7 linked regions of the Oryza sativa Japonica Group genome follow. The main gene of each other region encodes a partner of the protein of the gene in region 6 in a complex. Links are inferred from orthologs where the notes say so. Each region holds a gene or a part of one and is shown on either strand. Other genes may lie near its edges.

Region 1 (4,039 bases), on a different chromosome or scaffold from region 6:
TGATATGATCGGTGAGGCAGTTGCTGACAGGACAATTGAACTACTGAGGCTCACGAACTCAGGTTAGAATTTGAAAGTTAACCATTTACCTTGTCAATATAATAAAGTTCCTTTTTCAAGTGGACAGCTGATGGGAATATAAATTTCAAATGTTCTATTGATGCACCCTTTTCACTATTTTTTCTTTTAGAACGTGAAACTTTTACCTCAAGAAATTAAATTTGCTTACCATTATTGTCAGATATGTGCAAGTCTTTGGTAACTGTCTGTTGCCTATATTCATTCTTTCTTTTTTATGCTGTTGCAGAGACTCAGTGCTGGCAAGATTGGCTTTTATTTGCTGACATTTTTTTCTTTCTGATGAAAAGTGGCTGTATTGATTTTCTTGATTTCGTGGACAAGCTTGCATCTCGAGTAACAAATAGTGATCAACAGATTCTTCGCAGTAATCATGTCACTTGGTTACTCGCACAGATTATCCGCATTGAGATTGTGATGAACACCCTTAGTTCGGACCCAAGGAAGGTGATGTCTCTTTCTAAGATCATCTGCAAACACCTCTTTCTTTTGGTGAATCATATTCAATTGATTAGTTGATGACATGATTTTGGTACCAAAAAAAGATTTCCTCATGAAAATATTCAGAGTGCTTTATTTTGTTTCGTGCTCATCTTTTGGGAACTGCAAGGACTAACAAGTAATAACAGCGATCGACAAACTCAGCTAAACTAATCTCACATCCAATTGCTATAAAACTTTAAATACATACAAACTTTTGGTAATACTTCTAATGTTTCCTTTCATGATGTCTTGTGGTTGTCTTAATTTACCGTCTATAACTCTATATACCATTCTGGTATTTCTTCTGTTACCAGGTTGAAACTACAAGGAAGATAATTTCGTTCCACAAAGAAGACAAGAGCCTTGATCCAAATAATATCAGTCCTCAAAGTATTCTTCTTGATTTCATAAGTAGCAGCCAAACTTTGCGGATTTGGTCTTTCAACACTTCAATTAGAGAGCATTTGAACAGTGATCAGCTTCAGAAAGGCAAACAGATAGATGAGTGGTGGAGACAAATGACAAAAGGTACTTGGTACTTGTCCTTATTCATGGAATATGAAAGTATCACTATGCTTTTGATATAAAATATTGCCTGGTAGATCTAGAATTCATGGAAAAGAAATTCTCCGGTAGATTCTGGGTAGGCAATATGGACTGATTAAGTGTAGAAAATTCTACATAGTAACACCACAACTCATAATTCAGGAGGTGGATACATTTTCTTGAAAAGAGAGATATTTGGCTGTAAACCATTACTGTTATTTTCAATTTTGTCCCCATTCATGTATCTGTAATAAAGCTTTGTTACTGTTTCCCTTGCAATAATAGCTTCTGGGGAGAGGATGATAGATTTTACGAGCTTGGATGAGCGGGCGATGGGCATGTTTTGGGTTCTCTCCTTCACCATGGCACAACCAGCATGTGAAGCAGTCATGAACTGGTTTACATCAGTAGGAGTAGCAGATTTAATTCAGGGACCCAATTTGCAGCCAAATGAAAGAATGACAATGATGCGTGAAACTTATCCACTGTCTATGTCATTGCTTTCTGGGTTGTCTATCAATCTATGTTTGAAACTTGCTTTCCAGCTTGAAGAGACCATATTTCTTGGCCAGGTAAAAACACTGTTGCTGCTTATCTTTATTATTATTTTTTTAACTCTGCTCTTTATGGTTTGGAGACCAGTGCTCATGTGCCTTTAATTATTACTGAAAAACATCAGAATCAATATGTTACAATCTATCCTGAGTAAAAATAAAATGACAAGCAATTCATATGTTTATCTTTTATCTATTAAGATCTCCTGGCATAATAGCTCATGTTAATGAACTTAGCTGTAATATATGAATGATTTATAACTTTATATGTTAATGGTATATGACCAGCTCATCATTTTTGATCTTCGGAATGACTTTGCTAGAAGTGCCCATATAATCACAACTATATGTTCTTCTGTTGACGTACTAATGTCCATCTCTCTTTACCATACACTAATTTTCTTACATAATTCTTCTGTTCTTTGGTAGAATGTTCCTAGCATTGCTATAGTGGAAACCTATGTTAGACTGCTGCTTATAACCCCTCATTCATTGTTCCGCCCGCATTTTACGGTAAGTCTTGCCTCCTGTTGTAATCTGTAGTATTCATGTGAAGTTTATGGCTTTATGCTACCTTGTGATTAACAGTTGATTATTCATTTGCTCTGATTTCTAAATTAACTTTCTGCAATTGTAAGCATAATTCAGTTTCCTCAATAACATGCAATTCATATTCCTTTTTAAACTCTGATGTCTTCCTATGGTTTTATTAAACCTTGCAGACATTAACACAAAGATCTCCATCTATCCTGAGCAAATCTGGTGTGTCTCTGCTCCTACTTGAGATACTGAATTACAGGCTACTTCCTCTATACAGGTAATTTAAGTAATTTAATATTTGTTTTCTGCTATTTGCCTTGAAAGCCTTTTCTTATCATGCATATCCACAATTGGAATGTCTGACCTCAGCAAAAAAGGTTTGATGATCATTTAGAAAAAATCTTAGTGTTTTGTTCCATTTATTGTTTATATTATGGTGCACCTTTTGGTTTACATCTATGTGAATTTCTTCTGCTCAGGTATCATGGGAAAAGCAAGGCATTGATGTATGATGTTACAAAGATAATATCAATGATTAAAGTCAAACGTGGAGAGCATCGTCTTTTTAGATTAGCAGAAAATTTGTGCATGAATTTGATTCTCTCACTAAGAGACTTCTTTTTGGTGAAAAAAGAATTGAAGGTAACCTGCTTCATCTGGAAATTTCACCTGTTACTAAATTCGCATAAAGTGAACTTCTTTATTTATGTAAATGTAGGGTCCAACTGAGTTTACTGAAACACTTAACCGCATAACGATAATAAGCCTTGCTATCACCATGAAGACACGTGGAATTGCTGAGGTCGAACATATAATTCATCTTCAACCATTATTAGAGCAAATTATGGCAACGAGCCAGCATACATGGTCAGAGAAGACTCTAAGATATTTTCCTCCCCTTATTCGAGATTTTTTAATGGGGAGGATGGATAAGAGAGGCCAAGCTATCCAAGCATGGCAGCAGGTACTATTATCTTATCTTTTGGATTGAGTACTTGGTGTCTTGGCCATTTATATGCTCCTTTTGACTATTATATGGAGTTCATATACATTCGTCGAATAACAATTTAGGGAGTTTATAGTTCTTTTGTATCAGTTGTTGCCAAATCATGCTGCTGTTAGTTGATTTTTTTAAAACCATGTAATCACTCTTTTATAAGCAGTCTATTGATGGAGAATGTACTGATGGATTTTACACTTTTTTATGTACTATTACTATTACAAACGGCAATGAATTCTTTCACCTCTAGAATGGTATTAGCTGGCTAAGATAAAAATTGCAGTCTTGTTTTGAAATAGGCTTAGATTAGCAGTATAGCAAGACTAGTTTTAGAAAATTGTAAGATCTCGAAAAGTCTTGAATTTCCAAGCCAGTACTATTTCTGGTGTCCTTTAGTTGCTATAACATGCTTATTAAATGAAATGCTTTTCTAGGGCAAAATATTCCTTACCTTTTATGCTTGATGATTTATCTTCCATTGCAGGCTGAGACAACTGTTATTAATCAATGTAATCAGCTACTCTCACCATCTGCTGAGCCAACCTATGTTATGACATATTTAAGTCACAGTTTCCCTCAGCATCGTCAATATCTTTGTGCTGGTGCTTGGATGCTGATGAACGGACATCTAGAGATCAACAGTGCAAATCTTGTATGATTTCTAATTAGCAATTATATTGACATAAAAGATTCTCTCTATGTATATATGTCTTTTTAATCTTACTGCAGGCCCGTGTTTTGAGAGAGTTTTCACCCGAAGAAGTTACAGCAAATATTTATACAATGGTTGATGTTCTTCTGCATCATATCCAACTTGAGCTGCAAAGAGGGCATCAAA
Region 2 (4,076 bases), on a different chromosome or scaffold from region 6:
ATTGCCTGAATCATCAAGACTCGTTAGTACTGGTGGTAATAATAACAAATTAAAGTAGCATACTTTTTCAAAAAAATAAAAAATAAAAACAGTAAGTGAATTCAGTTGTGGTGTCTTAAGGATGCCCTTGATCCCCACTTTGGAAGTTTAAACGAATGCCTTCTACCAATGTACTGTTATCCCAATAGTTCATTTGTGTACGATTCTAGTACAGTTATGAACACAAACAGCAATATCAGACAATATTGGCATGAGTATATCAGAGCTTGTCCCCCATGGCCAGAGTTTCTATGATTCTATCAGTGATCCTTCTTGGTTATAAAGTAGTAGAGAAAATCATTTGAACATTACAGTTGCAACCAATCAAGCTTGCTTGTTCATACAACCAGTAGTCCTTCTAGAGTACTATTAGTTCACATTTTAGCATTGCGGTCGACAGTTGTTTTATAAAAGTGTACAGCCATTCCATAAATACAATGAATCTGATATATTCCAGAAAAATATTGGCAATACCCTGTATACTCAGAAGACACAGAAGCTTGACTTGAGAACCTTAAGCCAATAGAGAGAATGTTTTCAATTATATGGTGCATATGGAACACAGAGATATTTAAGCCATACATTAACTCACTAAAATAAAATTAAGTTGCTATCAATTGATATAATAACAAAGGGATAAATTCACTGTTTTTAGTGATAGGAAGAAAGAGCTGGAATAACTCAGTAAAGCAGTACATGAAGTTGAAAAGCCATACATGTTTTCGCGTGCCAATGAGAGGATATGAGTAATTACTTTGTCATGAAGAAGATGCCCAATGAGCTCTATAGTTATCACATTATTCATCTTCTGTAACTTGTCAATTTTGTCTATTCTTTGTTCAGAGAAAGTTCCATCAAATGCACTCACATCATCTGATCTAGTTGGCCAATGAGCTTTCTTATCCGGTATCAACTCTAACAGGCCTTCGTCATCTAATGCAGCATCAACCAACTGCCATAACATGCAAAGGGTAAATTCAACAACAAAAACCCCTGGTTCGCATGTTGAAAAGCCAAATATCTTTGAGAGACCAAGGTTATCATCTATTAATTGCATGATCCTGCGGAAATATGAGAAGGTGTCATGAAACTTTGCATTTAGAAGACAACTAAAGGAATGATAAGTTGCAGACAGAATGACAGATACCTACACAAGGCATAAACATAGGATGCTAACAGAACAGACATGTCACAAGAAACAAACTCTTTAAAAACTAACATGAAAGAACTATATGCGAGTTGAAAACATATAAAGTGACACCTTAACCAATTCAACCGAAAATATTATGTATCACTGCAGAACTGGCCCTTTCAACCAGGTGAAATTCTTCCTTTGCAAATTGTTGCTCTTTGGAACAGATCTTGATATGTCCAGTATGCAGATGCAATAAGGTGGTCTAGATGTATTGTGGTAGACACCCAAAACTCTAATTGTCAGCATATCGTATTAAAATTCCCGTCTTATATAATTCTTTTGAACAGTACTGAATCGTTCAGAATGATGTACATGTTCCTGTGATGTATATTTCGAAACCTCTGAACATAGAATGCGTGCATTATGAAACTACTGGGAACACCTCATAGAAGGAAACCTCACTTTTTGAAATTCGCCGCTTTCATCTGAAAAGCAAAATTGAATCCATGTCTCCGCAAGAGCTCCAGATAAAGTCTATATGCAGTTGGCCTTGTGAACCGGTGAGGAATGACCCTGAATGGAGAGAAACCATCAACGGAATATTTGCAATCAGTCTTATATTCTATTTTATAGAACATTCCACAGCAGCATAGCAGATATTGAAAATGTGCACGGATTTCGCCAGTTGGTTATACGATTACTGCTGAAAAGCACATTTCAAACTGCACTTGTTATTCCAACTAGCATGATCTAGACTCTAGAGAGAAGAAAAAAAGTGAAAAAAATGAAACAGAGTATTCTGCTGCTATACATGTATTAAATTGATCTGCATTACACTGCACACTCGAGTACTCTACATACACTGCCATTCATATACTTCTCAAATTTATGGGTATTACGCACAGTAAGCACGCCACCATCCCTTTTCCTTCTCAAATTTACAGGGCCCAAAACATCAGATTGTTTATGATCATGTACAGGCCACGCTGTAGAACAACTTGCATTTGTGGTAATCTGGTTGCGAGGGAAATCTCATAGATCGAAACTAGTAGCCTGATCCGATCGCGATTGCGCGGATTCCATCAGACAGTACACCCCACGTGAGCAGGAGCCCATGTCAGATACCACGCACGCAAATTCGTCTCTCCCCGCGCGCGCGCACAAACGCCACTGCGCGCGCGTGGGGGGAGGGCAATGGATGGGAGCGGGGGCGCCGCGCCGTCCGTACCTGGTGGAGAGGATCGCGAGGAGCAGCGCCGGCGACGCGAGGCCCGCGGCGAGCGCTGCCTCGGCGTACTTCCACGCCGCGCCGCCACCGCCATACAGCAGCGCGCGGGCGAGCATCTCGGCGAGCCCGGGCGACCACGGCGCGTCCCCGGCGGCGGCGACGACGGAGGCCACCCGCGCGGCCCACTCCGCGGGCGGGCGCGACTCCGCCTGGGCCGCCTTGGTGTACTCCGCGGCCCAGTCCACCCACGCCGCCGCCGCCGAGGGCGCCGCCATGCTGGACTACTCGCCGCCGCGTGCCGTGGCCAGCCTTCCTCGCCGTCGCCGTCGTCGTCGCCGCAGGCGTCGCGGGGGTGGGGAGTGGAGTGGGAGGGACGAAGCGTGGGATGTTTGTTTGGTGGGAAGGAGGAAGAGAGAGAGAGAGAGAGAGAGATGGTGGTGGTGGTGCGCGTTGGTGTAACCACTTCGCCCACTGCATCACCACCAGGCACCAACACGAGGTGGTCCCAGCCCGCCGGATCCTCTGCTCCGCCTCACCCACCTCATCTATCTTGTGTGCGTGTAGGCGTGTAGCCATACCTATTCTAATTCAAGGAATAAGAGGAGCCTACGCGTCGGGCGACCGATGGGTTTGGAGAAAAATCGGACGCTGACATCAGTATGACGCATGCGTGCAAAACTACTTTAAACTAATTTTTCTCTTAAATTATTTATCCAAATCATGATTTCACCATTAAATTCGTTGCAATTAAATCTTCAAAACAAGATCACACACATAGATATATTCCGATGAAAAAAAATTTAGCTTATTATTGAATTATTTTAAAATGTTGCACGATATTCTACCAAGTATATCGGAATTTTTTCACTAAGAGATCGAAAATGTTTCAATAGTTTAAGTCGGGCGTTGTTTCACCTTATATAAAAATAATGTTTCAGCAAATAGTGAAAGAATGTTTCAGTTCACTGCGACATTAGATCTATACACAGTGGAATATTGTGGGTATAAAAGGTAAAACATTCTTCGTGGAAAAAAATGAAATGTATTCCCTTAATAGAGTGTTTCCAAAATATATAGGTGATTTGTTGCAATGGAGTATGTGATAGAGATAAGTGGCAGGTGGGGGTAGAGACGTGGTGGGGCCCAGGGCAGTGCGCGTCGTGGGAGGAGGGAGCGCCCGATTTTTCTCCCTCCCCTGAGCGACCGATTCCTAGCATTCCCCTAAGGAATATCAAAGTCGTGTTCTTTTAGGATGTGTTCGGTATCTCTGATTCCCAACCGGAACAGTACGCACAGAAAACAGAGCAGTCCATTAGCGCGTGATTAATTAAGTATTAGCTTTTTTTCAAAAATAGATTAATTTATTTTTTAAGTAACTTTTATATAGAAACTTTTTTTAAAAAATACACCGTTTAGAAGTTTGAAAAGCGTGCGCACGGAACACGAGGTAGAGGGGTTGGGAACTCTGAACAAAGAACACAGCAAGCTTTTCCAACTTATACCCTATCATTTTCCATGTGTATACTTTTAGCTAATACTTAATTAATCATGTGTAAATCTACCACTCCATTTAGCGTGTTCGATGAAAGGTTCCCAACCCAGATAAACGAATCAAGCCTAAGCAACCGTTGAGTAGCTACTAGCAGTACCTCATGAAAACATGTAAAATGTAGT
Region 3 (4,519 bases), on a different chromosome or scaffold from region 6:
AGTTGGGAAGGCGGTCGGTAGAACAAGGGAAGACGATAGGGATGCCACTGAGCATCTGACGAAGGTGACTCTTCCCAATTCCCATTCCACCCCCTTCCTGGGATCAGGAGAGGACACCGACCACCGCTCTTCGGTACGGTGGAGCAAACGAAGTGTCGTCTAAGAGGTGGCTAGAGACGGGCGGGAGACGTTGGACTCCAGCAATCGAGGACACACATGTCGACATTTCCTATCTCTGGAGAAGCTTCATCAAGATCGAGCTCGCTTGCCTCATTGGATTTGCCTCGTTGCCCTCACCAAGAACGGTAGCGGAACAAGGTTGCCACGCCCACCAAGGATAGGGGGCATGTGCTCGCCATTGCCTACAGCTTGAGTCTGTCATTAAGGTCAACGACATGGACGACGTGCTCCAGCGAGCCATCGAGGATGACCTCCCCCTCGGTGGCAATGATGACTACAAGAGCTCGTCGACATCTACCCCTTGTCCTCCGACGGGTGGTGGCTATCCCTTGGCCATGCAGAGATATGCACGTGACCCTCCTCTCTCTCTCCCTCACTATTGCCATGTATGGCTCCACAACATATAAAGGAGAAGGACTCTTAGATCTCGATGACAGCGAGGTCAATCACCATCCTTGTCCATTGCTAGGCCTTATTAACCGAGGCGTTGATAGAGGTGAAGGTGGGAAAAGGACGTCGGATTAGAGGAGGCGACAGAGAGAAGGGGAAGTGGCTTGAGGCTCGGATCTGTGAAGGAGAAACACTGATGGGACCCGGCTTTGTCCAGATCAGTGAGGGGCCTCGGTGTGGCAACCGTTGGAGCCCACAATGAAGAGGACATCTACGGCAGCACTGGGCCTCTCCGACTCTCCATCACCGCTGTGGCCCTTCCCTCCTTTGCTCCACAAGGTTGCCAACAGAACCAAGCTTAGTTGGTTGTGTCGGTGGTGGCTTTGTCGTCTAAGTCACTGACACTATTCATGCTTGAGCTCGTCACCGCGTGGAGAAAGGAGAGGGAAGAAAAGAAAAAACAAAAGCATGAGGAGAAAGAGAAGGGGACGACATGTGGGTCCCACATGCTGACTTAATCGGTTAGACCAGTTCAATGAGCCACGTTAACGAAAACCACCCTCAAAATAACTAAAAAGAGTTTTTTTATTCACCGGTGTTAATAGCCGAGGGTTCGATATACACGGTTTGCGATTAAGGGAGAACGAATCAGATTGGACCTATAGTCGAGGGAGACAAATTGGACTTATTCCGCTCAAATACTAGGGCCCTGATAAGGCCAGGCCTGGGCTTCGAGCTTCGGCCCAAAATCAACATATCCTTTGGGCTTTTGGACTATGTTGGGCTCTGAAGCTAAGCTTAGTTCACTTCACAGCCAGCGCCGACGAGAGGAGGAGCAGATCGGCTAGGGTTCCGGCGATGGCCTCCTCGGCGGCGGCGCGGCGGCGGCAGGAGATGGCGGCGGAGGGGCAGCGCCACCTGGAGGAGACCATCGCCGCCGCGTTCCAGATCCTCTCCTCCATGAACGACGAGCTCTGCAACCCCACGCTCTGGTCCTCCTCCTCCGCCGCCGCCGCCGCGGCGGGCGGCGCCGGCGGACTCCAGCACCACGGCAACAACCACCACCACCACCACCAGCACCACCACCACCACGGCGGTCTCCCTCCGCCGCCGCCGCCGCTGCACTCCGCGGACTCCGACGCCGCCGACGCCGCCGGGGGAGGGCCCGGGGGCGCGCCGGGCTCCGGCGGGTCGCTCGACGAGGCCAGGCACCGGTACAAGGTCGCCATGGCGGCGCTCCGCACGTCCATCGCCGCCGTGTCGTCCTGTGCTCAGGTCAGCACACGAATTTACCCGACATTGCATGCTCCCGTAGTATGTATGCAACCACGAAATGCGTGTTTCTAGTGATCGTCTAGTGGAAATTGTGAAACGTATTGCACTCTTTGTTGATATCAAGTTAGGTGCTTATACATAGGTAAGGGAGCCAAATAATTTTTGCAAAAGAAAATTTCTTATTATTGATACCAATGTAAGGGAATGTAAGGGATGTTGTGATGTAGGTTCGGACTACATGGATGTGGACTATATATATGTTTCAATCAACATGAGCTTTTAGTGTTCAATGTTCATGAGACAAAAATAGTAGTTTTATATGATTCTATTTTTAGCAGTAAGTGTAATCCTGATGTGCAAAATATGGTGCTATGGAGAAACCTCATAACAGTTTACTTCTTTGTAATGATGTTGTGGTTTTCTTCGTAGGAGATGGGATCGACAGAACACAAAGCTGATCAAGCTGAGATTGAGAGATTGGAAGAACATGCATCTGCTTTGAGAAAGGTACTATCTTGGGAATGTTCTAGCAATATAATCAATATCATTTTGCTGTATTCAGAATTTTTCCCTGAACCAGTTGGTAACTGGTGCTTATTTAGCCATGTCAATCCCAAATATTTCCCAAACAACCTGTTTTGAACATAATGTGTGTGTGTGTGTGTGTGTGTATATATATATATATATATATATATATATATATATATATATATATATATATATATATATATATATATATATATATATATATATATATATATATATATATATATATATATATATATATATATATATATATATATATATATATATATGTTCCTTTTATGCTTCAATCATTTTAATTCAAAAAGTCCTGAGAAGAGTGTAATCCCCAATTTTTACCTGAAACCATTTTAGATAGCCAGGATCTAGTTTGGCAAGCTGTGATACTGTGTTGCTTGTAGTGTTTTGGATAGTCATGTTCATTCTGTTGAACTCGTCAAAAAAGCGTTCCATCTTGATCTTTCCTGGCAATATTCATGCTTGTTAAGTTGTTATCTTATCATTGTTTTTTCTGCACTGGATACTGCATGTCATTATTGTTTGCATACTTGGATTTGCCTGCTAGTTTAGAACTTACTCCCTCCGTCCCAAAATAAATAAACATAGTATGGAATGTGACACACCCTAATACTAGGAATCTGGATAGGGGTCTGTTACTAGGTTTGTTATTTTGGGACAGAGGGAGTAAGTTTTTGCAAATCCACCTTTGATGCTAATTGGATTCTGGACTATTTAGCAAATCCTTTTCATCCTTTGGAGGGCTGTTGGCTGTAATGGCCTTGTAAGTCTCAACTACTCCTTATCTATGCTAGATCATTATAGCATAAATACAGATTATTCTCCTTGATGTGTATAAATGTGTATAGAAAAATGGATTTGTGGCTTATTCAGTTCCATTTGTATGATTTATTGAGATCAGTGATTTTCATGTACTCCTATGTTTGAAGTGTAGCAAACCATAGTTATTAAGACCGGACCGGTGATCGAACTGTTAGGGTACTCGGTTCACTGGTTTATTGGTCGGACCAGTCAAACCGCCGGTTTAAAGCGGTTCAAATAGATGTGTGTTAGAATACTAGAACAACATGTGACATAGCCGGCTGAGACTCTCCGTGGAAGCAAGGAGGTCTTGGTTCGATCTTCAGTTCAGCAGGTTTTTTCCTATTTTCTCTAACTCCACGTGACACCCTCCAGCAGTCGAACCACCTTCGGTTTTTGTCTGGTTCTGCAGAAAACCGCCCGGTTCAATGGGTTTTTGCCGGTCTGTTTGCTCAACGATCTTTTAGCTGGACTGGACCAGCCAACGCCCTGGTTCCCTTTTTTTCTGATCGGACCACTGGTCTGGTCTAGTTCTAATAACTATGTAGCAAACAGTGTTCTCTAATGCCTCGATTACATAGTTTGTTCCTAAAAAGTTCAAAGCATTTCATTTTAAACATACACTGGTCAGTACAATCTCAATTAGCTGATCCCATGTGTCCTAGTTCAGATTTCTATATATGCCCGTGGTATCATGGTCTGTGGAAGTTTTGAGTCCTCACGCTTTTGACATATATAATACATTTTTTGTTTCAACCTAGTAATGTGGCATACTGTTCTCTGGTACCGTAAACCAGTCTAATACAGGATGTTTACTGCAGGAAATTGAAAGCAAAAACAAGCATGTAAAGCTCCTTATCGACCAACTCCATGATTTAATATCGGACATATCAATGTGGCAGAGTCCTTGCTCAGTGTGAAAACTCATCGGCATTTATCCTTTAGGAATCCAAAAATCATAGCTAGAAGTATGTTAATGCAAAATTGTATCAGCTGACCTTGAGAGAGAAATCTGAAGGGATACAATCAGTTTGCAAATACAATATTGTAATGATTTTTCTTTCAAGTATTCAGAAAGTGTACTATGAGTAGTGATAAACACGAAGTAGCTAGTAACTGAAACAAACATCTGGTGTATATTTTCCCACCAATTTGGCCTTGCTTTCATTTCCAAGACTTCTGTATACTCTTTGAGCAACCATGACCTCTGTACACTTTTTCCTTTGTCGAGCATGATGATATTTGTGTCCTCACAAGCAATGGAAATAGTAATACATATGATTAATCTTAATTTCTTTGGCGAGGTAAAGCT
Region 4 (4,604 bases), on a different chromosome or scaffold from region 6:
GCAACCCTCAATATTTGAGCTGTACAAGTTAAAAAAGGAGGGTAATGAGTGTTGACAAAGAAGAAAGACGAACCATTTTCAGCTTCCTGGTAGCGCTCCTGGAGCCTCCTCTTTGCTGCTTCCAGCCTACTATTGCTTTCCAAACCATCATAGATCTTTGGCTTTGCCGACTCTAGCTTGACTCCTGCTGAAGGTTGTGCAGGAAGCCTCGATTTCTAGAACCAAAGTTCAGATATTTAAGTCATGATGTTCTGAGGATTATCATACTATTAGGCCTTAGTAATAGCATATATACTTACATCCACATGGCTCGCTGCAGGTTTTCTTTCAACAGCAACCTGCTCTCGAGCCAGTCTAGATTTCATCTCAACAAAGGGCTTCTGCTGAGGAGCTGCCCTTAATGGTCTCCCAGGTCCAGAATCAGAACTCAAGGGCTTAGATTGCTTGTGAAGCATGGCCTGCTGTTTGACTTGCAAACTTGAATTTTGAGGGGTTTGTGGGTTAGCCTGCCTCATTGATGGCTCTTGCCTTGCCAATTCCGGCCTCCTGGATTGAACTTTTTCAACAGCTCCCATGTTACGGGGAGGCTCTTGCTTTGTCAAAGCTGGATGGCTTGTAGGCCTCCTGCCATAATTTTCTCTCTTATTTCCAAGGCTCCCATCATTGTTATGTCTCAAGTCTGTCATAAAATGTATAACTTGAATTATTATAGTGCACAGAAAAAAAAGGGAAACTATGTAATTTGAGTTGTTGTACTTACTTCCATCTTCATCCATTTCATCAAAGAACTTTAGGTCAGGAAGATGAAGCAGAAAGAAAAACAACAATGCAAAGTTAGAATTGTGTTCTGGACCAAAACAATCCAGATACCAGGAACAAACAAAAATTAGTACCTCAGAGAGTTGAATAGCAGTAGTCTGGGTTGCAAAGAACGCCCCTTCATCCAGAGGTGGAGAAGGAAGCCCTTCATCATCAGCATCATCGACAACAGATGTTTTTGAAGAGCCCGGGGAGTTGTCTACAGATCAAAAGATCCATTACATGTTAAGAGGTGAACATTCACTTACAAATTGATGACTCATACGCGATATGAAACAAAATAACTTTTATTACCTGTAAGGGCAACATTAGTGGTGCTGACCCACTCATCAACCAAAATTTTCCAACCTCTGAAAAAAAAATGTTTTAAGACGTCAACAATGTTTCCAAAATTGGTTAATAACCACACTACAAATAAGGTAAATAATTCACTCAAGTAGTACAAAGACTGGAGAATACAGAAGCTAAATCAGTAGACTCGTATCATGTTTTCAGAAACTTATAGGTACAGTAGAGTATCAATTTGCTTCAGCAAGTTCTCTAAATTAAAAGCTAGATCAGCCCTAGAGAATGAAATTTAGTGCAAGCATATTGAACTTACTCAATGAGAGTGCGCACAAGGTGACGAATTTGCTGCGAGTTGTGCTTCCGCAGCCCATTAACAGCCCTCCCAATCTCAGTAGCCTACAACAAACAACATCGGAGATTAGCAAACCAAACAGAACCACTATGCGTCACTCCGCATAGCTCATATGCGCTATCCAACACAGTACCTTCAGCGTGGAAACGGACAATTGCATCAGCTGCAGCCTCCTCAGTGATTCGAACAAAGTAGCATCCGACTGCGAAAACCACAGTTGAGATCAAATGTTAAGTCCCTGTTGAGGAATGGCACAACTCTTACTCATGGAAGAACTGAAAGCTGGGAATAGTTCATCATACATGATCTTCCTTGTGCAAGAAGAGGTCCTTGATGCGGAGAACCTCGCCGACGACCTGTGACTCCTCGTCGATCTCGTTGGTGAGTGCCTCAAGCTCCACAGCCTCGGGGTCCAGCTCTTGTTCTTCGTCCTCTTCAGCCGGCGCCGCCTCCTGCTCCTCCTCTTCCTCCTCGTCGTCATCATCGTAGTTGTGACCGTAGTTGCTCGCCGCGGCGCGGCGGAGGCGCTCGTCGTCGGAGTCAGAGTCAGAGTCGTCATCGACGTCGTCGCGGCGGCCGCCGCCGCCGCCGAGGGCGCCGTTGCTGCTGCTGTCCACCTTGCTCTGCTTCTCGGGGACGCGGCGCACGCTGCCCTTGTCCTCCTCCACGGGGGTGGCCGGGGTCGGGGTGGCGGCGCTGCCGCACCCGTGGTGGCAGGGCGGGGCGCGCGGCGCGGTGAAGAGGATCTCGCAGATGCGGTCGCGGCGGCGCAGGAGCTCCTGCGGCGCGTCGGCGGCGGCGACGAGGATGGCGTTCTCGATCACGTCGCAGATTCCGGCGGAGCCGGCCGCCCCGCGGAGGAGCTCGCGCCACCGATCCAGCCGGTCGGCCATCGCCGCCGCGGCCACCCGAGATCGGGCTCCCCCCACCTCCACCTCCACCCCCACGACTCCGATGGCTCCCCTGGCACCACCAAGAATCGATGCCCTCTCTCGATCACCTCCTCCTCCTCCTCCTCACAATCTTGAAATTTCTTTTTCCCCTTATCAGATTACGTTGCACCAAAAGAATCTAATCCAACCCGATCGCGAATCAGATGCCCCCCACCGAGGGAATCCCCCAACCGGGAAAGCGAAATTCTCCCGAGACAGCGAAAAATCAATCTAACGAACACCGCTGCCTCTCCTCAACGCCAAGAACGAATCAATCAAGAAGAGAAAACCCCAAAAAAAAAAAACAAATCAATCCTCACACCACCCAAACCCAATCTCCCCTCCCTTCCTTTGCTTCACCCCCACGTCCACGTTACTTGACGATTTCAACCCAACAAACAAAACAGCTCCTAACCAAATCTTATCTGTGCCGTCGCCGCCGCAGGAGGAGGAAGACGACGACGACGAGGGGGAGAGGGAATGCGGGGAGGGGGGTTGGATAGGGACGCGGCGGATGGCGAGGCACACGCAACGCAAAAACGAGAGCCCACGAGAACTACGCAAGCTCGACTCTACCAAACAACAACAACTACTCCTCCTCCTAATTCCCCCGCACGCACACCACCACCACCACCATGGCCTCCTAGTGGTAACAACAAATCTCGCGTCTCCCTTTCCCAACTCCTTCCGTTCGTCTCGTTCTCTCTCTCGCGCAACGGAGGTCGCAGCTTTTCTCGGTCTAGGACTTTCCGGGGGGGCCCTTTTTTTTACCGGGTTTGGGGACACAGCCACACAGGGCGAGGTCACTACGGTTTTGGAGAGGGAGGCGGCCTCGTGGCTGTTTCTCGGCTTTGACCCTGTCGAGTTGTTGGTGGGATGCAGGTCCTCTCATGCAGTAGGCTCCCTGACATGTGAGCCCTATAGCCCCTCGGGCCCACATATTAGTGAGCAGTACGGCACATGCAGTACTGGAGAGGATCTCAACTGTTGTTGGTGGGAGTGGGACTAGTACTACTCTTTCCTGTAGTGTTTGGTTGGTAATAGTAGCATTCGTTTTTTGTTTATTGGGCTAATGATTCCCGTTTGATATCCACTTAATTCAAGTTTAGTTTTCAAACTTGGGTAGGTGAGCATCATCTACCATAATATCACTGTTATTATATAATAGGATCATCCTCTTATTTGTTTCATATATAAGTGTCTATAGTATGTGAACCAGTTGTATGCACGTACCCACCTCCATCCCAAAAGAAAAACTCAACTTACGAAGGATTGTCCATTTTTAGATGAATAGAGTACTCTCTCAATTCTATAAAAGACTAAATTAGTACGAAATATGATATATTTTAATACTATAAATCTGAATAGACGTTCAACACTATGTTATTTTTTTTATGGAACCAAGAAAATACGTGCATGCAACCGTAGCCGCCGTAGGCCACTCAAATTTTAAAAAGTAAACTTGGATTGTATCTATATAAATATATTTGTGGTATTAGAATGTGTCACGTTTCGGTAATAGGGTGGTTTTTTTATGGAATGGAGAATGTGCTTTAGGAGTACTATTAATTGTTGAGGCCCAATGGACTATTTTTGGCATCATTTTCGAAACATGGTGCGAGGAAATAGTATTGGATTAGTAAATGCCAATCGATGGTTTGATATAGTATAGCACAGTAGTACACCGTAGGATCAAAGAAATATTTATGCTCTGTATAGCTTCTTCTTTTTTGAATAGAAAAAGAATGGAGTACTTTTAGCATCCTTTTCAAAACAAGGTGCTAATGTAGTAGCGAAATCTTGGATTAGTAAATGGCGATCAAGATTGATTAGCAATATACGCTGTATCATCAAAGAAAATATTTAGGCGGCAAATACTCCTTTCTATTTATAAAAAACTGAGCTATCTATTAACAGTGAAATTTGATAATCGACAAAGGCGTCATCGGCTTAGAATCATTATCGGCTGTAGCATCTCGGAATCAGCCGATGAGAGTTATCAAGTCACCAATAGTCGAATTCCTGCTATATTCGGTTAAGGAAATCAATCTACTAAAGGAAGCTTATCTCTAAGTGACCGAGTTTAAAGAGGATGCGGCATGGCAGTTTATCTATTAATTAGGAATAGTTTGTTAGTTTCCTTTTTATCTTTAGAAAAGTGTGTTTAGTGTCCGATAAGGACTTTATATTTTCCTTTTATCTTTAGGTCTGTG
Region 5 (4,654 bases), on a different chromosome or scaffold from region 6:
ATTAGTATCAGAAAAATGTGTATCCATAATTTCTGAGTTACTACTAGGCAAACATGAAGCCTCCATATCAATTACTATACTGAACATTTTATGCCTTCCTTCCCTTAGTCATTTAAGCCATCTGCATTCTTCTAAATCACTGCAACAACAATATTTATATAGATAGGCAACACAGCAAGTTGAGCTGTTAAAATGCACAGAAGTAAGACAATAATGAGTATCATATCATACTTTTCATTCGTTCTCCAGAATGCCCCAGCATTGTCGATAACCATCTTGAGCAACTCAAGAGACAACACCTTCCCGCGCAGCAGGACCTGATCTTCGGGATTATCCGGCGTCGAGAACTTCATGGACAGCTTGCACAGGTTCTTGAACAGTGTCAACCCATCCTCCCTGATCTTGCTCATGACAACATCCTCCTTCCCATCCGTCTCGGCCGGCTCAACCGGGGACCCCGGCTCAGGGACATCGCTTCCCTCCATCGTCTCGTTTATGAAGCTCTGCGCCGCATGGACAATGCTGGAGTCATTCAGGTTGCGGTCAGACATGTCCATCATGTCGGTGATCGACACCGTGCGCACGCGCACATCCATGGAGTCCACCTCCACGCGCGCGAACACGATCACCAGCACCTGCGCCAGCGCCAGCTTAGCGCAGAGCTGGTTGGCGCCGCTGCTGCTACTGAGGTATATGTTGTAGCAGGTCTTGAGCATCTGGCCGAGCCCTTCCCCGCGGATGGCGACGGAGGGGCACCGCGCGGCGGCCACGAGGACGCGGAGGGTGGAGAGCTCCATGGCGTCGTCGGCGAGCGCGCCGCAGGAGAGCACGGCGGCGAGCAGCTTGGAGGACGGGGAGTCGTCGTCGCCGCCGCCACCGCCGAGATCACCGACGAGGAGGCGGTGGTAGAGCAACTTGGCGACGCAGTCGAGCGCCGGGTCGGCGACCTTGGGGGACGCCGACTCGAGCGCGAGGAGGAGCGCGTGGATGCACGCGTCCGCGGCGGCCGCCGGCAACCCGAGCAGCAGCGACGGCGGCGACGGCGCCGACGCCGACGCGTACGCCGACGAGGAGAGCAGGTCGAGCGCCGCCTTGGCGGCCGCCACGAGGCCCGAGTGCTTCCGCCACGCCGCGTTCTTGATGATCCGGTCCAGCGCAGGGCCCAGCACCCGCCCCGACGGCGACGCGCCGCCGATTGCCCCCGCCGGCGAGGCCATAGTTAGCCGTCCACGCAGACTCTCACGCGCTCTACGCGGTGGTCGTCGCCGTCGCCGTCGCGGCCATTGGATCTGAGACCTCGAGACGAGGAGGAGGTGGAAGAAAATGGGAATTCGAGAGGAAGACGAGACGAGCGCGTGGGGGAGGAAGAGGAAGAGGAGAAGTCAGAGGAAGGGTATGACTGAAATTTCAGATTCTTCCAGGGGCCTAGATGCAAAAACGCCGCGACCCTTCGCGCGGGGGTGAGGCATTTTATCACTTTACCCCCCTCGGTTTCTCGGAATTCTTTCTTCTCGTCTCCATCGCTGCAGGAGGAGGAGGCGGCGGAGGACGGCGAGCGGTCAGTGGCGGAGAGGGGAGTGTTCGGGGACGCGGGGTTTGCGAGGTGGGGGGAGCTCTTGCGCCTCGGATCGGCTCACTTCCCGACGCCTCAGCCCCCGCCGCGCCGCGGATTATTGCTGTTAGGTTAAAGGTGGGGGTGAATTTTTGTTGCTGCGAGGTAGCTGTTCGACGAAATTCCGCAGCGTGGTTTCAGGGTTTGTCTCTCTTGCAGGGATTGTGGTAGCGAGAAGCGGTGGGGTTGATGGAGTGCGTGGTGCAGGGGATCATCGAGACCCAGGTTATTGTTCTTCTTTCTCACTTCGCCAGTAGACTTGTATGAGTGGTGACTGTGTGAGCGGTTGTTGAAGTGAACGGTAGTTTCTTCCGAGAATGAGTGATCTGTAGCTATGCAACGATGCATTTTTGTTCATATGAAACTGATTTGTCTGTTTATGCTGTAAAACATGACCAATTTGAACTTTTACCCGGAAAATCATACATGGCCCGTAACATAAGCCGGAGTGATGGTAGATGTGATGTTCTTCATGGATTCTTGATTTTTGTATGATGGTAGGCCTTTCTGGGAAATCGGTACTAGTCAAGTTTGCTGATCTGACATTTGCGCTCCTTACTTGTATGTTGTATCTAGAATTCTGAATTTTATTTAATTTTTGGCATAAGGTTATTTGGCCTTTCGCTTTGTAGTAACCTTATCCAAAGGAGTTGGAATGTAGAATTTCGACGTTTACTAAATGAACTTTCTATCACTTGATTTAAGATAGCATTTTTGTTGTTGGAGGTGTCAATTGCCTGAAAACAGACCTCTGTAAATGTAATTGTGATAAAACCTTTTGAAAGGTAACACTTAAGCTATCCCAGGTAGCAAATCTATCAACTGCATAGCCCCAATGTCAAATTACATCTCAATAGTCCTACTTAGGAACAAAGTTATTTTTTCACTCCATATAGCATGAAGTAGTATTGGAACTTTATGTCCATAGAGAATTTCTTTTTTCTTGAACGAAACACATCAGGGAATAGAGAATAATAATTCATGCCAGCATTAAGACTTTGTCGTCGATCCATTGTCTCTATATGACCTTTTGTTAGTCTCTTATAGCTTCCTCTTGTCAGCATATCAACACTTCCCTTCAGGATAATAAAAAAAAAGTATACAGTTGATCATGCTGACCACTATATGGTCAACCATGTTTCTCCACTCTGAGGGCACTACTTCTGCCACTTGCAGACTTTTTTTGATTCTCTTTTCAATATGTTGATATGGTTCTATTTTATATACAATTGGAGGAATCATATCACTTATATGGTTTGTAATTTTACAATAAAGGGATTAATTTATATACACATGTCAATGTCTTGTGCTTAGAACACCATTTAACCTTTTTTAGTTTTCATTGCTTTGACATCAGTGTAACTTTTGGTTGATCTTCTTGTTATGCAGCATGTTGATGCTCTTGAGGTTCTTCTCCAGGGCCTCTCTGGTGTCCCAAAAGAACGTGTCAGAGTGCATGAGCTCTGTCTTAAAAGTGGGCCAAATCTAGGTCAGTTTGCAACTTTTTCATTATTCTGATCATATGCCATTGTTACTCATATACATCTTCCAATCATACAGGAGTTGTCCCATCAGAGGTTCGTTTATTGTGTGACTTAGCTCAGTCCACGCCATCCTGGTAACTTTTCTTTCAGCTGCTAAAATTTACATTTTTGTGATATTTGATGATATTCTGAATCCAGTAGTATTCATGTAGGACCATAAGACATGTTGGAGGTGCCATGAGAGGTGCTGGTGCAGAGCAAATCTCAGTCCTTGTGCGGTCAATTGTAGAGAGCAAAGCCAGCAACAATGTATTGCGTTACTTCTACGGTATAGGGTACAAGTTAGATCATGAAGTTCTGAAGGGAGGATTTGCATTTCGTTTCCACCGAGGTGCCCAGATAACTGTGACCGTTACCTCTGTTAGCAAGATGACAAAACTCCATGCTACCAACGAAGCTGTGCCAATCACTCCTGCAATACAGCTAGTGGAAATCACGGCCCCTGCTGCTGCTGACAATTACAACGATGTCGTTTCAGCCGTCACTTCGTTCTGTGAATATCTAGCACCGTAAGTAACTAAGTGTTCCTTAGCTATCTCAAGATTATTACTAGACTGGCATAAACGAATTTTCTCACTTTTGACTGCAAAACACACTGCAGGCTTCTGCATCTCTCTAAACCAGGCAATTCGACTGGAATCGTCCCGACTGCAGGCGCTGCTGCCGCCTCACTCATGTCAAGTGGTGGTGGTGGTGGTGGTAAAACGTTGTGATCGGTCATATGTGTTGGCTGCAATGCCATGATGATCTCCATTGACCATCCCACTTAAAACATTGTTGCCATCTTTAGTTCTGTAACTTTTAGTCAGTAGCACCATGGTTTTTCTTGTAATGACATGCTAAATGCTGCCTACCTTGCTTTGGAGACTGGTAAATGAACACTGATCATTGCTTGCTTTTACTGAAGAGTGGAAACTGAATGCTGGGAAAGCTTGACGATATTGGTGGTAGACTGATAGCTGGAGTTTGTCATGATCCTGACAATATATTTGATGGTAGCTTTGTTTACTTTAATTTAGGTCACATACGTGGTAAGGATCTCATGGTTTGGGACGTTCAATTGCCCAGTAGTTTTTCTCTAGTTAATTAGTGTGCATCAAACTATTTTCTCTAGTTATTATGTAAGTCTAGCAGTCAAGTTACCAGAAATCAGAATACACTGCATGCATTACTTGCATAGTCAACAAAGTATCTCAATGACAACTGATCTTCCTAAAAGTTGCTGCAAAACGAAACAAAGCCGGAGTAACTAGAGAGGAGGGGAGAGAGCTAGGTTGCTGACAACTTGACGAGATCAACTCATCCTGATGCTCAGTGCAGGATGAAGTGCCATCTCCTCCTGCTCTTCCAGCTCCAGCTCCTTTACAGTTTACATGCATCTTCTTCCTCAGATTTCTTTGGGATCCCTATTCCTCATTTGCCTGGTGATTTATGATATGGAAAGCATCGAGTGTACATAGCTGGACCTACACTGTGAATGATAATACCAACATTCTGT
Region 6 (4,039 bases):
TCTGTAGTATCCATCCCTTCATAGCTTTTGTGTTTTTCTTTCTTGTGATCACAGGTGAAGAACTTAAAGGACCAATATTTTCCTGAATTAAATGATTTGTACAATAAGATCTCTTTGAAGCTACAGCATGTTGACAACATGGTTCCACCTCAAAAGCCAACAGAACAGTATGAAAAGATGAAGAATTTCAAACTGATGTTGGAGCGTACAATGCATGTTCTGCAATTGAACAAGGGCAACATTCAGCCTGCCCTTAGGGACAAAATTCCTGCGTACGAGAGGCAAATTATCAGTATCCTAAATTCGCAAAAGAGGCCAAGGGTGCAAGGCCAGCAGACACAATTTCAACAATCTGCTGGGCAAGGTCCTACCTCTAACATTCCGCAACAACAACAACCTTCCCAAGGTTTGCAGCAGCATGATAACCATACTAATCAGATGCCTCAAGCAAGCATGCCAAGTATGAGCACCGGATTACAATCCTCAGGTGCAGCTGGTATCCAACATTTACCTGCATCCCCAGCAACAAACTTTGGTGTTCCAGCAACACAGCAAAATGTCACAAATGCACCACAGGCTACCTCTAATTTGGAGGTTACTCAAGGAAGCAATTTTAATTCTTTGCAGCATGGTTCAATGAGTGGTGCTTTGCAACAGGGAAGCACTGGGCCCATGCAGGGTACACTGAATGCACAACAGCAGGCCAGTAGTAGCATGTTATCTCACAACTCAGTAGGTACAATGCAGGCTAATGCCAATTCCATGCAAGCCAACGCAAATTCATTACAGCAGCTGAAGCAGCAACAGCAGGAGCATCATATGATGCAGAATCAGCAAATGAAGCGTCAAATGTTTCAGCAGTTCCAGCAAAAACAAATGCTTCAGCAGCAACTCCCAGCACAGCAACAATTACAGAAACAGCAGCAATCACAGATGCAGGTTCCACAGCATCATTCTGGAAATGATGCAAACGAGCTGAAGGTTAGACAAGGAGCTGCAATGAAACCTGGGATTTATCAACAGCACTTGGCTCAGCGCAATAACTTTTATAATCAGCAAATGAAACAGGGCAGTGCTTTCCCAATTTCGTCACCACAAAACCTCCAAGCATCATCCCCCCAAATTTCACACCATTCTCCTCAGGTTGATCAGCACAATCTCTTGCCGTCTCAAGTGAAGACCGGGACACCATTGCAGTCAGCTAACTCACCATATATGCCATCTCCATCGCCACCTGTTGCCCCGTCTCCTATACCAGTGGATTCAGAGAAACCACTCTCCAATTTATCATCATCACTTACTAATACTGGTCAGGCTACACATCAGCAAACAAACATGGCGCCTCAGTCACAATCAATCGCCGTTAACACTCCAGGGATCTCGGCCTCACCCTTGTTGGCAGAATTTACAAGTGTTGATGGAAATCAGGCTAACATGCCAACCCAAGTTCTAACCAAATCAAGTGCAGCAGAAAGGCCTTTAGACCGCTTACTTAAAGCGGTCAGTAACTTTGCCAACTTTTTATTTACTGTCTTTTCTTCGTTTCTGTAGTGCAAAATAAATTTATTATTTAATCAGTGCTATTCTGAGTATATTTTAAAGCGTAATTAACTATGGCATAAAGAACACAGTAGGCTCAGCTAAAATATTTAGTTCAGGAGTTATATATGCCATGCCTTTTGCTTGTAACCTCGTGCACCTACCTTGCTAAAGTTAATACAAACATTACCCTGTTTCAATCAACTAGTTTATCAAACGATAACTAAAATGATGCCCAAAGGTTGCAGCAGATCTCAGATAAGTATATCGTAAATTCTGAACTTGATAATTATGTCAAAAAGGGATACTATGCTAAAATCCCAGTCACATGCACATATGCGTGTGCTAAGGGATTATGCAAATAACACACATGTTAGATCTGTACACAAATATTTTGAAGTCAAGGGGATGCAAAGCATGGGAGTCATCATGCCTGGTCATTTCATGTTACTGCTTATTTAAAGTTGACTCTTTGAGTCTTGACATCTGAAGAACTTGATAGGTTTAGCATTGACCTATTTTATTTATTTCTCTTCACTATTGCTCTGTGGAATCTAGCTATGTTTTCCGGATAGCCTGTTTTGCTGCTGTGCTAAAAGAGAAGAAATCATTAATACCTTTTATTCCCCTCAAATTAGCTTCCTTAAACAAATTTTGATCATATAGAAGGCATATACCCTCCCTTTAGATTGAAATTGAGGATTTACCTTCCTGTCCCTTTTTTTTTCTTGCATGATTCATGTCCCTTGTGTTCTGTATGGCAGTTGCGGACAACACAACGCCAGTCCTTGAGTGCTGCAGTAAGCGACATAGGTTCTGTTGTCAGCATGATTGACAGGATTGCTGGGTCTGCGCCTGGTAATGGTTCTAGAGCTGCTGTTGGTGAAGATTTAGTTGCTATGACAAAGTGCCGATTGCAAGCCAGGAATTTCATAACACATGATGGGACCGGTACATCAAAGAAAATGAAGCGTGACACTAGTGCTATGCCTCTTAATGTGTCATCAGCTGGAAGTGTTAATGACAGTTTGAAGCAAACATTCAGCATAGGTACCCCTGAATTGCAGTCAACTGCAACCTCACGTGTAAAGTGGCAAAAAACCGAGGTATGCTCTTTATTATTTCATAGGGATCAATACATTATATGCCTCAGTGATCAGCTTCACAATCGTTTGTATAGATGAAACTTAGTGGCATGATGAATAAACTAAAATATCATGATTATCCAGCTGTTTTGTTTCCACAATGACTTCCATTACATATATGGGCCCAGAGAAGGGAAGTATAGTTAAATTGACGGGAGCTATTCTAAATTTTTGGCTACCTTTATTATTTATCTTGTCTCTGGTGCACCTGCAGATAAACCATGCTCTTATGGAGGAAATACATGAGATAAACCAACAGCTCATAGATACAGAGCTCCATGTTTGCGAGGATGATGCTGAGTCTTTTGGTGCTACATCAGAAGGGACAGAAGGGACAGTCATCAAATGCACATTTACTGCTGTGGCTGTTAGCCCCAGCTTGAAGTCCATGTTTGCATCAGCACAGATGGTAAGCTTCTCAAAGCATGATCTGTGGTATCGGCTTTTATTGTTCGCTGATGTTCCATGTTAAAAATGTGTGGCAGAGTCCAATTTTGCCATTGAGGGTGCTTGTCCCCGCTAGCTACCCTAAGTGCTCCCCGGTTCTCCTAGACAAGTTCCCAGATGAACAAAGGTCAGTATCCAATGTTTTATCAGATTCTACGCCAGGTACTACATATTAGGCTGTCCTGATTCTCTGTACATAAATAAACTAAGGATGTTGCATTGTGCTTGTGAATCTGCTATAGAAACTCGGATGACCTGTCGACCAAAGCGAGGTCGAAGTTCAGCATATTGCTTCGGGGTTTAGCTGAGCCCATGTCACTAAGAGAAATTGCGAGGACGTGGGACGCGTGTGCCCGCAAAGTAATTGCTGAGTATGCTCAACAGACTGGTGGAGGCAGTTTCAGTTCGAGCTATGGTTGTTGGGAAAATTGCGTGGGTGCTTAATCCCCATTCTTCTTCAGTCCTGCTGGCACCAATCTTCGTTTTGCATCGATATTGTGCGATCGCTTGCACGCCCTTAACTGGAACGGTTAATGCATCGCTCTATAAATATATGCACATAAATATATGTAACCATAATTAACATTTTAGCAAACATGCAATTGCTACTGGTGTGTACTTATTTATTATGTGTGGTTGTACTTTTGGAAATCCTCCCTGTTTACTAGCTGGATTTGGTAGCGGCCCCTCTTGTACAGAACAGTCTACATCTCCAGCCTGGTTTGATTCTAATATAAATATACTGTGAGATCGCTGCTCGTAATATATGTTGTGTATTGACAACAGTTGAAGGACGTGTGATTTTCTGAGATGTGCTGAGACCAGTTTCGTCGGACGTTTTCTCTTTTCTTGTGTGTTCTTTTCATATGCGGAATGGCGGTAATCAATGAGCATGTACAGAATATAAG
Region 7 (4,643 bases), on a different chromosome or scaffold from region 6:
CACAAGCCAAATAATTTGTGCATTAAGCAGCGGCATACATTTTAAATTTTAAATTTAAAAAAGGTGAGGCCAGGCCACTAGGTACAATCGCATGTGGCTGATAGCTGTTAAGTTTAGTATAGTAACCCATTTTTGTAAATAGTAATAAACTTCGGGTATCTTGTCATGGGGACTAGGGGATGATCCGAAGGCTTGAAGCCTTCAACATAAGTACATACATCTAAAGAAGCACATGAATGAAGGGCGTTGGAATATTTCCGATGCATTCTGTGTAAAATCAAAATAAAATATGGATGCAACGAAAACAAGAACTGATCTAATACTTCAATTCCTACAAAAGCACTCCACACCTTGGAAGAATGTAATTATCATAGTAGAAGGATTAGAGAAAGCAAAGTGCAAAAGAAGAAACAAAAGAGGGAAAAAGGAGAAATAAGGGAAAAAGGGGAAAGAGGGAAACAACAGTACAAATTTAAAGGGGAAAGAGGGAAACAACAGTACAAATTTATCGGCCAAGAAAATTATCGTATATCGCAGGAAGAAATAACATGGTATAAATATTTAATCTGCATTCTGCAATGCACGGTTGATGAAATCTCACACATCAACAGAATATAAATAAGACAAATAAGCACATCATATTGTGGCAGCAAACATACAACACAACAATGATGGTAATGAAATTACCTAGTTCTGTCAACAGCTGATGCACCAGCCTGACCAGCCAGCTGACGCTTCCAAGCATATGCCACAACTGCACCATCTGGACAAACAAGTGGCATGTGCAAGCCCCATGAATTGCCTCTGGCTTTAAGGGCTCCATTTAGAACTCCAGACTCTTCCAATTGCCTTCCTAACAGCAATGGATACAAGATATTTATTAGGCTACAGTTTAAAAACTAGATCTTTACTTTCAGTTGGCTAGGCCAACACTTATGAAGAAATAGTGGAACTTGAAACTTGAAGTTCAATAAAAATAATTGGAACTTACCAGGAGAACTGTGTAAGCAATGATTGATGGTTCATCACAAAGTAAAAACATCATGAATAGCAACAAGCACAACTAACCCAAACACTATAACAAGAATACTGTGAAAGAACAATAAGAAAGCACCAGCAAAATCGAGTGAATCCATCCTGTTCACATACCTAACTTTATTGAAGATGGCTCCTAATATCCTTTGACTTAAAAAAATCTCAGTCACATGGCTTAAGCTTATCTAGTACTCCTAACTTCAGGATTTTCACAAACTAACTATTCTGTCTAAAATCATAACTATATCACCTGCAAATTTCATCTTCCGTTTATCTAGCAACTTCAGGTTGCAGAAAGACTCAAAAACCATCGTTTAACAAGCAGTTCATATTGCTTGGACATTTTATTCATCAGACAGAATAGTACCATGTTGCCATGAAACATGGATTTTCCAAATGCCTGCAGACTTCTTCAACAAACGACTGGTCAAGTGGTCACATGTAAACAATTGTACCCAACACATAACTGCTCTGCTGAGACAATATTATAGAGTGAGCACCTACCCTACATCCTTACCATCCACGAGTGATACTAAAACTAGTTCGAGCCCTGAGTGGCACTAAGGTGGTGTTTGGATCCAGGGACTAAATTTTAGTCCCTGTCACATCGCATGTTTGGATACTAATTAGAAGTATTTAACGTAGACTAATAATAAAATTAATTGCATAAATGAGAGCTAATTCGCGAGACAATTTTTTTAAACCTAATTAATCCATAATTAGCACATGTGTACTGTAGCATCACATAGGCTAATCATGGATTAATTAGGCTCAATAGATTTGTCTCGCGAATTAATTCAAGGTTATGAAATGGATTTTTTCATTAATCTACGTTTAATACTTCTAATTAGTGTTAAACATCTGATGTGACCGGGACTAAAATTTTAGTCCCTGATCCAAACAGCCCCAAAACAAGTTCAAGCTGAAGCTGTTCAATTAAGGTTAAATATTGCTCTATTACAAGCCAAGGAACACGAGTTCCAGAAATGCATCCCAATCTGATAGACCCAGGCACCCAGCCAATATTCTAGAATGCTAAAGTTCATATACCAAAGTTGAGCAGTTAAGCCTGTCCGTGCATCTCTCGTAGCAAGGTTTCATAGGTAGAAGGGTTTCACAAGATACAAGCAATTGGATAACACCAAAGAAGAGTGTGGCATCAGTTTATGGTGATTAACCATTATTACAGAACAATTTAGTGGAAAAAAAATGTGCTGCCATGCCTAAACTGGGAAGGAGATTATTACTTTAAAAAAAGTCCAATCATACAATCCAAAGAAGTTAAATCAATATCCCAGCCACCAATTTCCAGAAATTATCTAGACAAGGGTTTTCCTTTTTCTTCTTGAGACTGCAACCGTGGTATCATGACGGGAATATTTCTTTTTCATTTTGAGACTGCAACCGTGGTATCATGACGGGAATGTTCCTTTTTCATTTTGAGACTGCAACCGTGGAATCATGACGGGAATGGTTCTTCTCGGAGGGAATTAGTTGTATTTTGCGACGTAACAGTCAAAGGTTAAGGAATCGATGAAAAACTTCTGAATCGGAGAGTGTGGGGGCACGGGGCGGAGATGGGTTTACCTCCCGAGCGCGCGGAGGTCGTCGAAGTGGCGGTGCATGGCGGCCTCCTCCTGGGCGACGGCGAGCGCGGTCTTCTCAACGTGCTGCGGGGCGCTGTGCGGGGGCGCGTCGCCGGCGACGAAGAGCGCCTCGAGCAGACGGTCCGCGCCCAGCCGGATGTCCGCGATGAGCCGCCCCGCCCGCCCCAGCCGCTCCATCGCCTGCGCCACCTGCTTCGGCGGCGCGTCACCCCTCGCCCCCTCGTGCTGGTGCCCCGTCGCCCCCGCCGCCGCCGCCGCCGCCGCCGCCACCGGCGCGGCCACCACCGCCGACGCCTGCGCTTGCTGCATCTTCCTCTTCTCCCCTTCTCGCTTCCGACTCGAAACGCCTCACCTAAATAAGCCCATATCCAAACAGGCCCAGAACCAATACAAGCCCATATCTATTCAGGCCCAGATCCAAACAAGCTCGTATCCAAATTCGGCCCACGCCATCGGCTTCCAACGTTTCGAACGTTTGCGCTTCGCTTCCCACGCGGCGGCGGCGCCACCACCACCACCCTCCGCCATGCCGCTCGCCGGCGGCGAGCCCCGACCACCACCGCCGCTCCCGTCGCTGGTCAAGCTCGGAAGGGCCGTCACGCCGCGCCGCGTGGACATCCTACTGGCGGCGCTCCTCCGCCGGCGGAGGCACCGCCTCGTCGGCGCGCTCGCCTCGCAGGCGGTCGCCAACTCCGTGCGCCCCACCGCGCGCACCCACCTCCTGGTCGCCTCGGCGCTTCTAGATTCTTCCCGTCCGCGCGACGCGGCAGCGCGCCTCGCGCTCGCCGGCCCGGCAACCTCCTCCGCGCGCCGCCTCTGGGACGCGCTGCTCCGCCGGGCCTGCGCGGTGCGCGGCGATGCTCGCCGCGCGCTGGAGGTGCTCTCCGCCGGCGTAGAGGAGTGCGGGCTCGTGTTTTCTCCGTCCACGTATCGTGTGGCCCTGACGATGCTGTGTGCCCGCGGTGACATGGAGACCGCGCTCAAGGTGTTCGACGTAATGGCTGCAGCGGGGTGTCAGGTGGATGATCGTGTTTGCAGCGTGATCATTTCAGGCTTCTCCAAGGTCGGGAAGGCTGGGGATGGGCTGGAATTCTATAGGAGGGTGAGGAGAGAGTTCAATGGATTTGAGCCAGGCTTGATCACATTAACCGCTTTTGTCGATGTGCTTGGCCGTGTAGGGAGAACTACTGAGGCAGCACAATTGGTAAGGGAGATGGAAGGGAAGGGGTTGGTTGGTGATGCTGTTTTATATGGCAGCTTGGTTCATGGATACATGAGTAGCGGGTTATTGATGAAAGGGCTCCGTGAGCATCGGGTGATGTTAGATAAGGGCATTGCAGCTGATGTAGTTAGTTATACTACTGTTATTGATGGACTTTGCAGAGAACGTAGTGTGGAAAAAGTGATGGGATTCTTGGATGAGATGAACCGAAGGGATGCTAAGCCGAATTTGATCACTTATACATCATTGATTGGTGGTTTCTGCAAGAGAAACAGGTTGGATGATGCTTTTTCTATAGTGAGGAAACTGGAACAGACAGGAGTGGTGGTGGATGAATATGTTTACTCAATTTTGATTGACAATTTGTGCAAAAAGGGATATTTGGATAGGGCTTTCTCTTTGCTTGAAGAGATGGATAAAAAGGGGATAAAGATTGGAATCGTAACATACAATTCAGTAATAAATGGTCTATGTAAGGTTGGTCACACCAAGAAGGCTGTTGAAATATATGAAGGTATTGCTGCTGATAACTTCACATATAGCACGCTGTTACATGGTCACATTAAGGTAGAAGATGCAACTGGTGTAATGGCAATAAAAGGTAGGCTTGAGAGCAGCGGTGTTACAATTGATGTTGTCACATGCAATGTACTTATCAAAGCATTATTTATGATTAAGAAGGTGGATGATGCCTGCAGCTTGTTTCTTAGAATGCCCGAGATGAGATTAAGGCCTAATATTGTCACATATCATACAGTTATTGACATGATGTGTAAACT

Evidence for each region.
Region 1: mediator of RNA polymerase II transcription subunit 15a (region 6) and mediator of RNA polymerase II transcription subunit 23 share a complex: the UniProt entries of both Arabidopsis thaliana proteins name them as parts of the mediator complex. The link is inferred for Oryza sativa Japonica Group from reciprocal best matches to the Arabidopsis thaliana genes NRB4 and AT1G23230.
Region 2: mediator of RNA polymerase II transcription subunit 15a (region 6) and mediator of RNA polymerase II transcription subunit 33A share a complex: the UniProt entries of both Arabidopsis thaliana proteins name them as parts of the mediator complex. The link is inferred for Oryza sativa Japonica Group from reciprocal best matches to the Arabidopsis thaliana genes NRB4 and RFR1.
Region 3: mediator of RNA polymerase II transcription subunit 15a (region 6) and mediator of RNA polymerase II transcription subunit 30 share a complex: the UniProt entries of both Arabidopsis thaliana proteins name them as parts of the mediator complex. The link is inferred for Oryza sativa Japonica Group from reciprocal best matches to the Arabidopsis thaliana genes NRB4 and AT5G63480.
Region 4: mediator of RNA polymerase II transcription subunit 15a (region 6) and probable mediator of RNA polymerase II transcription subunit 26b share a complex: the UniProt entries of both Arabidopsis thaliana proteins name them as parts of the mediator complex. The link is inferred for Oryza sativa Japonica Group from reciprocal best matches to the Arabidopsis thaliana genes NRB4 and AT5G05140.
Region 5: mediator of RNA polymerase II transcription subunit 15a (region 6) and mediator of RNA polymerase II transcription subunit 18 share a complex: the UniProt entries of both Arabidopsis thaliana proteins name them as parts of the mediator complex. The link is inferred for Oryza sativa Japonica Group from reciprocal best matches to the Arabidopsis thaliana genes NRB4 and AT2G22370.
Region 7: mediator of RNA polymerase II transcription subunit 15a (region 6) and mediator of RNA polymerase II transcription subunit 27 share a complex: the UniProt entries of both Arabidopsis thaliana proteins name them as parts of the mediator complex. The link is inferred for Oryza sativa Japonica Group from reciprocal best matches to the Arabidopsis thaliana genes NRB4 and AT3G09180.

Annotation. Positions count from the first base shown.
Region 1 is NC_089036.1:31,041,786-31,045,824, reverse strand, and holds part of mediator of RNA polymerase II transcription subunit 23, read left to right. Parts: coding exon 1-62; intron 63-307; coding exon 308-525; intron 526-875; coding exon 876-1,089; intron 1,090-1,392; coding exon 1,393-1,679; intron 1,680-2,090; coding exon 2,091-2,174; intron 2,175-2,383; coding exon 2,384-2,478; intron 2,479-2,680; coding exon 2,681-2,843; intron 2,844-2,919; coding exon 2,920-3,165; intron 3,166-3,685; coding exon 3,686-3,853; intron 3,854-3,930; coding exon 3,931-4,039. UniProt on the Arabidopsis thaliana protein: Component of the Mediator complex, a coactivator involved in the regulated transcription of nearly all RNA polymerase II-dependent genes.
Region 2 is NC_089041.1:6,111,273-6,115,348, reverse strand, and holds the start of mediator of RNA polymerase II transcription subunit 33A, read right to left. Parts: upstream 2,801-4,076; 5' UTR 2,678-2,800; coding exon 2,403-2,677; intron 1,748-2,402; coding exon 1,637-1,747; intron 1,101-1,636; coding exon 756-1,100; intron 6-755; coding exon 1-5. UniProt on the Arabidopsis thaliana protein: Component of the Mediator complex, a coactivator involved in the regulated transcription of nearly all RNA polymerase II-dependent genes.
Region 3 is NC_089038.1:19,468,953-19,473,471, reverse strand, and holds mediator of RNA polymerase II transcription subunit 30, read left to right. Parts: upstream 1-1,358; 5' UTR 1,359-1,428; coding exon 1,429-1,845; intron 1,846-2,274; coding exon 2,275-2,352; intron 2,353-4,028; coding exon 4,029-4,127; 3' UTR 4,128-4,498; downstream 4,499-4,519. UniProt on the Arabidopsis thaliana protein: Component of the Mediator complex, a coactivator involved in the regulated transcription of nearly all RNA polymerase II-dependent genes.
Region 4 is NC_089039.1:20,346,884-20,351,487, forward strand, and holds the start of probable mediator of RNA polymerase II transcription subunit 26b, read right to left. Parts: upstream 3,178-4,604; 5' UTR 2,353-3,177; coding exon 1,762-2,352; intron 1,662-1,761; coding exon 1,593-1,661; intron 1,504-1,592; coding exon 1,421-1,503; intron 1,170-1,420; coding exon 1,114-1,169; intron 1,019-1,113; coding exon 894-1,018; intron 789-893; coding exon 761-788; intron 680-760; coding exon 300-679; intron 216-299; coding exon 74-215; intron 1-73. UniProt on the Arabidopsis thaliana protein: Component of the Mediator complex, a coactivator involved in the regulated transcription of nearly all RNA polymerase II-dependent genes.
Region 5 is NC_089036.1:5,237,864-5,242,517, forward strand, and holds mediator of RNA polymerase II transcription subunit 18, read left to right. Parts: upstream 1-1,497; 5' UTR 1,498-1,690; intron 1,691-1,771; 5' UTR 1,772-1,801; coding exon 1,802-1,837; intron 1,838-3,001; coding exon 3,002-3,101; intron 3,102-3,172; coding exon 3,173-3,230; intron 3,231-3,308; coding exon 3,309-3,665; intron 3,666-3,757; coding exon 3,758-3,869; 3' UTR 3,870-4,057; downstream 4,058-4,654. Other genes in the region: brefeldin A-inhibited guanine nucleotide-exchange protein 1, read right to left, coding at 232-1,217. UniProt on the Arabidopsis thaliana protein: Component of the Mediator complex, a coactivator involved in the regulated transcription of nearly all RNA polymerase II-dependent genes.
Region 6 is NC_089042.1:28,443,279-28,447,317, reverse strand, and holds the end of mediator of RNA polymerase II transcription subunit 15a, read left to right. Parts: intron 1-54; coding exon 55-1,500; intron 1,501-2,303; coding exon 2,304-2,645; intron 2,646-2,898; coding exon 2,899-3,093; intron 3,094-3,169; coding exon 3,170-3,258; intron 3,259-3,373; coding exon 3,374-3,575; 3' UTR 3,576-3,896; downstream 3,897-4,039. UniProt on the Arabidopsis thaliana protein: Component of the Mediator complex, a coactivator involved in the regulated transcription of nearly all RNA polymerase II-dependent genes.
Region 7 is NC_089035.1:8,936,285-8,940,927, reverse strand, and holds the start of mediator of RNA polymerase II transcription subunit 27, read right to left. Parts: upstream 2,977-4,643; 5' UTR 2,952-2,976; coding exon 2,623-2,951; intron 850-2,622; coding exon 688-849; intron 1-687. Other genes in the region: pentatricopeptide repeat-containing protein At5g57250, mitochondrial, read left to right, coding at 3,169-4,643. UniProt on the Arabidopsis thaliana protein: Component of the Mediator complex, a coactivator involved in the regulated transcription of nearly all RNA polymerase II-dependent genes.